Linked DNA regions of Ovis aries. The protein of the gene in region 2 purifies or fractionates together with the protein of the main gene of each other region. This does not show direct contact. Links are inferred from orthologs where the notes say so. Each region holds a gene or a part of one and is shown on either strand. Other genes may lie near its edges.

Evidence for each region. The genes of interacting proteins can lie anywhere in the genome.
Region 1: the proteins of EGFR (region 2) and PFKP purify together in Homo sapiens (affinity purification with mass spectrometry; 3 studies listed by BioGRID, with this or other methods). This does not show direct contact. The link is inferred for Ovis aries from reciprocal best matches to the Homo sapiens genes EGFR and PFKP.

Annotation. Positions count from the first base shown.
Region 1 is NC_056066.1:44,748,785-44,752,529, reverse strand, and holds the start of PFKP (ATP-dependent 6-phosphofructokinase, platelet type), read left to right. Parts: upstream 1-1,085; 5' UTR 1,086-1,132; coding exon 1,133-1,247; intron 1,248-1,555; exon of another isoform or gene 1,556-2,417; intron 2,418-3,745. UniProt on the Homo sapiens protein: Catalyzes the phosphorylation of D-fructose 6-phosphate to fructose 1,6-bisphosphate by ATP, the first committing step of glycolysis.
Region 2 is NC_056072.1:938,373-942,017, forward strand, and holds part of EGFR (epidermal growth factor receptor), read right to left. Parts: intron 1,123-3,645; coding exon 996-1,122; intron 902-995; coding exon 828-901; intron 625-827; coding exon 534-624; intron 1-533. UniProt on the Homo sapiens protein: Receptor tyrosine kinase binding ligands of the EGF family and activating several signaling cascades to convert extracellular cues into appropriate cellular responses.

The sequences.
Region 1 (3,745 bases), on a different chromosome or scaffold from region 2:
GGTCCCCACAAGGGACTGATGATGCGGCCGCTTATGAAACTCTTTTCTGGGGGTGATCATACCCCAAGCTCAGCGCTGTGCGCTCCGAAAGACTGCGCATCCGTCTGCACCTGCGGCAGGAACCGACAGGGACCAAGCTCCCTGTTCATCCATCACCCAGCGGACCAGACACTAGCGCATCGGTCCGGGAGTGCCCGGCGGGGCAGCGAACATCCGGCCGGCGACCCCGGACACCGCGGCTTGGGTCTTATCGCCTCGCCAGGACCTTCCTGCCCTTCCCCCGTCCCTTCCCTTCCAGCGCCCAGCCCGGCGCCAGCGGTGGCCAGAGTCCCCGCGCGTCCTCCAACGACCCCAGTCCGCCTCCTCGTCTTGCGGCCAGAGCCACTGTGGGGACGGAGCCCGCGCTTATCCTCGCCAGCAGGCGACGCCCACCGACTAGACGATCCGGAGGCGGGAGGAGAGGCTGGGGAGCCCGGGCCCCGAGAGCCACCCGGGCAGGAACCCTGTGGGAACGGGCGCGCGCCTCGGCGACGGTTCGGGCCCCACAACCGCCAGTGACCCGGTGCCCCACGTGCGGCGCCCCGCACCCCGACCCGGCCTCCTGGGCTTCCCCTGCGGGATGCTCTAGCCCACCTGCCGCGTTCCCGCGACCACGGTGACCCCGCCCACCTACAGTTCCTCCTTGCCCCCCGCACCCTCCCGTCGCCGGGACTCCCCCTCCCAGTCCGCCCACCTCGTGGCCAACACTCGGGCCGTGCTCTCCCTGCGGCCTACCAGGGATGCTCCGCCCACCTGTGGGCTGTCCCCTCCCACCTGCGGGCTGTCCCCTCCCTCCGAGGCGCTTCCGGCTCGTAAAACTCCTCCCAGCTGCGATGCACACCGCACCCCCCAACCATGTGGCTCGCCCTGGAGTGGTCCTTCCTGCCGACCAGGCTCCCCTGCCCCCGGAGCTCCCCTCAATCAGGCGCCCGCAGCCCCGCCCGCGCCCCCGCCCCCGCGTCCCCGCGCCCGCCCCAGGCCGCCCATTGGCGCGCGCCGCGCGGGCGTGGCCGGCGGTTCCCGTGGCGGCGGCGCGGGCGGGGCGCAGTGCCTACTGAGCGCCCTCCAGAGCGCGGTCTCCGGCCTGTTCACGATGGACGACCACGACAGCCCTCAGACCCCCAAGGGCTCCTTCCGAAAGTTCCTGGAGCACCTCTCCGGGGCCGGCAAGGCCATCGGCGTGCTGACCAGCGGCGGGGATGCCCAAGGTGCGCCACCGGGTCCCCGGCCCCGGGCTGGAGGCTCAGGGAGGGGACCAGTGAGAAGGGAGGTGGGGGTGCCAGGGAGAAAGGATGGGGGTGCCGGGGAGAAGGGACGCCAGAGACAGGATGAGGTGTCAGGGAGAAGGGATGGGGGGCCCGAGAGGAGCAAGGAGGAGAGGGGTACCAGGAGTAAGTGACGGTGGGGAGAAACCCGGCGCCCGGGAACCTCGGAGGTGCTTTCCCAGGGCCGGAGCCAGTGCGGCCTCGGAAGGAGTCACTGCGCGACCCGCGTGGAGAGTGCGGGGGTCCCTTACCCGGAAGGTCAGTTTTCCACCTCCACGTTTATTTCCTAAATTACGAGTGGCGACAGGGTCGCCTGGACTCCGTTCGGAGGTCCCTCCGCTTCCGCGAGGCGGGATGAAGCCGGACTCTCCTCCAAGGCTTGGCTACAGCGCGGCCACTTCTGATGCCGCTGCGGCCGCCCTGGCTCCATCCCAGACTCCCCACACCTGGCGTCGCGAGGAAGACCGCTGCGTCCCCGCGACGCGTCTGCAGCCCCACTACCCCCGCGCGGCGCGGGCGGGGTCCCCGCTGCTTTCCCGCGGCGCGCGGCGGCGAACGCACGGGATCCCTGCCCGGGTAGCCGGGCCAACCGGCACCGCCTCGCGTTTCCGCTGGGAGATTTTAAAAACGGTTTTCCGCCGGTCTCATCTCCTGTCTCCTTCCGGCTCGTCACCAAACCAAAAACCGAAGCGGGTCACTAGGCCCTCCCCGCCAGCCTCCCCTGGATGGGAAGGACCAGGAAGCGGGGACTCCGGGGTGTTGCCAGCGCCGGGAGAGCGGTCTCGGGCGCCGCCTTCCACCCGCGAGCCTGGAAGCTGGTCTCGGAGGAAATGGGGCCCCAAGGTTGGGCCCCGCGGACAACCGAAGCAGAGATGACACGACCGCGCCCCTAGCGCCGGGCGCACGTGGGGGCCCGGGGATTCCTGATCCTCGTAGATTCCCGGGTGGGGTGAGCCAACCGCTAGAAAGGAGCGGGGTGCTGCCCATGCGCTCGGAACCTGGAGGACCGCAGGCCAGAGACGCCTCCCGTGCCAGCTTCTGGCGTTTCTTTTACCCGCTTCCTCCTGTCTAGATGAGCTGAAAGGCCCCGATGCCTCGTTCTCACCTCATCTCACCACGCGCGGTGCAGGGATGCTTAAGTGGCTGGCCGGCGCCCTAGCCTCCGCCCACGCTGCTGGTGACCTTCTCTTCGCCCTTGAGAGGGGCGGGCCGGGAGGGGGGTGCTGCAGGTGGGGAGCTGTGGCCGCAGCCCCGCCTGCCCCGCGCGCGTACGTGATGCCGGGCCCGTCGCCGCCCGTGCGCCCCGCGCCCTCGACCCCGGACACCCCGCGCACGGCCGGCTGGAGGCCAGGGGACTCCGGGTCCCTGGAGAGCCCCTCCCTGTCCTGTTGAAGGTGGTGCGCGCCGCATCTGTCACCGCCCCCGCCCCACAAGCCGGCTGAGCCCGAGCAGGCTGGTCTAATTTGGTATTCTAGTAAAGTGGCCCCAGTGAAGAGAGAAAACGTGATACAGCAAAGACTGGGGGCGGGGAAATGGCAGAGTGAAACTGATGACATAGCCCACGTTACTTACCTGCTGTGCTGGATTGGGTCCCAGTCGAGTCGCTGCTGGGCTAAGAGGGGCTTCCCGGTAAATGCGCTTCAAAAAGCACCTGCGTCCCGAGACGTGGGCTACCCAAGTTAGGAAGCATCCTGAGTGACTCTTACCATGGGCTTGGAAAAAGAATAAAATGCTGGCACAGAAAAAGGAACTGGTCTCTTAATCCTCCAGCTTTCAAGGTCAGAGTTGCAAAGTCATTTAGAATTAAGGTGCTGTGTCTGTTCAAAAAAAAAAAAACGTAGGTCATTCACTTGAATCCTTTTCCATAAATTTGCTCAGCTGCCTGGTAGCTGGTGTAAAGGCAATTGAGGTGATGATGCAATAGACAGAATCAGCATTTTCTCGGCTACATACCTGCTACTTATCTCTGTCACTTGTGAGCAGTTATGAATAAGAGGTCAGTAAGTCTACACCTCTTCTCAGTGGAAAAGCATACTTTGAGAATCAGAATTATATGACAAGGTCAGACGGCTTGGTCGGTGTATGGTCAGGTTGATGGGAGTTGTCCTGATGCCCTGAACTGGCTCCTCTGGGTGGTCTCTGCTGGAGAGCCCCCAGTGGCCTGACGTTTGGGCATCTTCCTTGGGGCAGAGCTGAAACTGCTGTCTGTTTCTTCTTGGACTTCATGCCAAGTGCCACCTCCTGTTCGATCCTATCTGGGACCTGAGTGAACAGGGGCATGCATTTCTTTCTGAGAAAGCTCGCCTCGCTATGTGCACCAGGGGGCTGGTCTCTGAGGTAGCGGACTTAAGCTCCTTGAGGAGGTGATTCTTAGAGATGATGTTACTCCCCCGTGCTCTGCCGTTTTGTCTTGACTCTGTATGATATCCATGCTTGATTTT
Region 2 (3,645 bases):
TGCTTGTGTGTGTGTGCGCATGTGTGTGTGTGCACATGTGTGTGTGTGTGTGTGCATGTGTGCTGGAGCTGGAAAAGTGGAAATCTTGAAAGGCATGCTCAGTGCTTCTCAGGTCCCCTGAAAATGAGGTGCTGATGAGGACTGGTGGCCTTAGTGCTATTCTTGCCCAAAGTACAAAACCTCAACCAAATCAGGAGAAAACACTGGCCATCCTACAAATGCCTGACCAGGACTTTTCAAAAGCCATGAAAGATAAGGAAGACAGAGGAACTATCAGGAACAGCAGGGGACCAAGGAGACATGACTGTCCCTTGCAGTGTGGGCTGACCAGAACACGAGAAGTGTTCATGGAAAACTGGCGAGATCCGAGAAAGCCTGCAGTTCAGTTACAGCCACGCTGACGATGCAGGGTGTCACCGTCGGGGCAGCCAGGTGAGGGTGTGGGGGGACTCTCTGTAGTGTCTCTGCAGCACTTCAGTAGCTTTTACTTCAAGAGAAAAGACTCTACAAGGCTTTGGCTGGGGTCCACTTACTGTTGCTTCGTTCTGCCACGTATGATTTCCAGGTTCTCAAACGCATGGAGGTCAGTCCTGTTTTCGGGCCAGGCCTGAATCAGCAAAAACCCTACAAAGCACAAGGAAAGTTCAGACACATACCACTTATAAATTTCTATTTTGTATGAGACATTATTTGGAGAAGGAAATGGCACCCCACTCCAGTATTCTTGCCTGGAAAATCCCATGGACGGAGGACCCTGGAGGCTACAGTCCATGGGGTCACAAAGAGTCAGACACGACTGAGCAGCTAACACACTTAATGGTACACACCTGTTATTTCTTTTACAGTTTTTAGAATGTCCAGTTCTTTCGGGTCCAGAGGTGCAGTACGTGTGAAGGAGTCCCTGAAACAAGTAACAGAGCCGTCAGTAACAACCTGCCGTGAAAAGAGCAGAGTCTATTTTTCTCTGGTATACCAGTAACTGGATCTTTACTTACCCCCTAAATGCTACTGGCAGGATATGAAGATCTCCACTGATGGATGTGCAGTTTCGGAAGTGTTTAATGTTTGTAGCATTTATGGAAAGTGTGTCTTTAAACTCACCGATTCCTATTCCGTTACAAACTGTAAAGAGAGGTGTTTATTCCACTCACATGTATTGAATTAGTAATAGCTGTGGTCCCTCAGGCAGACGGGAGCAGGAAGAGAAGTGCGGCCGTGGGAACCGTCGCCGCCGTGCTATCGTTCATCCACGCAGCAAACACTGGCAGGCTCGCCAGGGACCAGGGGCCATAGCAGGGTGTGAGGTTGCAGTACAGGAGGCGCTGCCTGTCCTCACTGAACTTGCCTTCTCCTCCTCAATTTTCCCCACCTGGCCAGAGTCCAGTTGCCCCGGAGGACTCCAGCTTCCTTCTACACTACAGCTGCCCCCGGGCTGTTGGTACTGCACGGCGATCACCCCCACTAAACCCTCAATGCCTTCCCTTGCCCTCATCTGGGCTGCAGCTTAGATTTCTAATGGAAAGAAACAGTATGCATAAATTTTTTAACTAAAAGAGCAAGATGCATCCACGGAAGAAAACCTTGAAAACACGGAACAAAGAGGAAAAAATGACTAGAAATTCTATTGTGTAACTTTGATATTTTAGAAAATTTCCTTCTAGTTATCCTCCATGGTTATGTCATACCACATATGTAGTTTATTTTTTTTTTTTTTCACTTATTATGCTGCGAACATTGTCCTATCAGTAACATATTGTCCTATCAGTAAAACCATTCACAAGCTTGGCATCACTGATGCGATGGACATGAGTTTGAGTAGGCTCCGGGAGGTGGCGATGGAGGGGGAGGCCTGGTGAGCTGTAGTCTATGGGGTCCCAGAGAGTCGGACAAGACTGAGCGACTGAACTGCAATGAACTGAACTGATATTACATCATAAAGAATACTATAATAAGTCTTATCAGACAAACTGCTTTTCTTCCACAGGGCCTACTGAAGCCACAGGCTTTGATCTCTGTCCTACTGGGACATAAATCTCAGATGCCTTTTTCTGCACTCTGAGCTCATTTATTAATTTACATTCACTCCCTAGTTTCCATCTTAAATGTCATCTCCCTCCGAAGCCCATTTATCTGTGTGGCTCTGCTTCTAGAATTCACAGTGCAATTGTTGGTCTCTCTCTTTCAGACTTTATCTTACTTTGAAGAATCATCATGGAAGAGGTTATTGTTTAGGGTGAGGTCCTCCCCTCCCTTCCCCAGGCCTCACCAGGGACCTGGTAGCCCTGTTACCCCATCTCCTTCTTCTCTGTTCTCTCTGGAGTTCCCACTGCTTGGGCTGCCACCTGGCCATGGGGCCTATCCCATCAGCCCCATGGAACTCCAGGCTTGCTCTGGAATGCATATACCTTGCTGTGGGTCTGGGAACGGGGTGGCGAGGCTTGCTTAGGATTCCAAGGCTCTGGCTGACAACAGAGTGAGGCAGCCTCAGCAAAACAAGCCCCGAGGCAGATCCCTGCTGAGGGGAACTTGCCTTTTAATTACAGGTTTGGAAGAGAATTCTACATGTTTGAGAGAATATTCAGTCTCTCTCTGCTTAGGCGTGATGGTGATGCTGGGGTTACCTTAATTCCTAAATATGGAGACAAACTGTAATTCACCTCTATATCTATCAGATCTGGAGTTGTGGACCATCAACACACATGTTCCCACCTTTGTTTCCCAACATCTCCCTACACAAAGGGATCTCAGTTGGCCACTACTCCAGGATTTGAACTGTGGGTGGGTAGAAAATATAGCATAATGATTATAGGTGAGTCAAAATGTTTGTTAAGCACAGAATTAACAGACCAAAATCAGAAATAATCTGCTTTTATTGATCCATTTGAGGATGCTGATAGCAACCCTCTGTCTTCAGCGGTTGAACTCACTTACTTCCTCTCCGGGTACTACCCTATGTCTCATTTTCTTCCTTGCATGTTTCCTTTGCCTGAAGATTTCCTGGAGCCAAAGGATATTCATTCCCCAGGGCGCTGACACGCCTGCCACACTGGGAGCTCATAGGTCTGACCTCAGACTGAAGCCCTGTGAGCTGTCCCAGCTTATCTCTGCCAATCCTGGCCATTGGTCCCTGGGCAAGTCATTTAGATCCTCTGTGACATAATGCCTCATCCGTAAGGGGGATTGTAATAGCACAGACCTCCTAAAGAGGCTGAGGGACTGGATGACATGGAGCATGGAGGCTCAGTTCGCCCCTGAAAGAATACATGGGTCAGTGGTCAGTGCCCGCTGAAACCACAGAAACTTCTTAGAGGCAGTGGCATCTGAAGCAGATGTTCAAGTAAGCAGCTGTTCACTGAGGCGTTTTTTTATAGCAGTAAAATAGTGGAAACAATCTGAATGACCATATAGATCATGGGACAGGGATTGTGGACAGGGTTAAGCAGAATAAGGAAGAGTCACATGATGCTATCTGGAGTGATCTCCAGGGGATGCTTAGAGTCTAGATGTGTCTTCTGTGCCCAAAGGACCTGGGCACCAGCTGGGAAGGCTCCATGGGCCACATCAGAGTGAATAATGTGAGGAGGGACTATCATAAACTGAATAAAAAAGGGTTCAGTGAGCTCACATGGGTACTAAGAAAGCTAT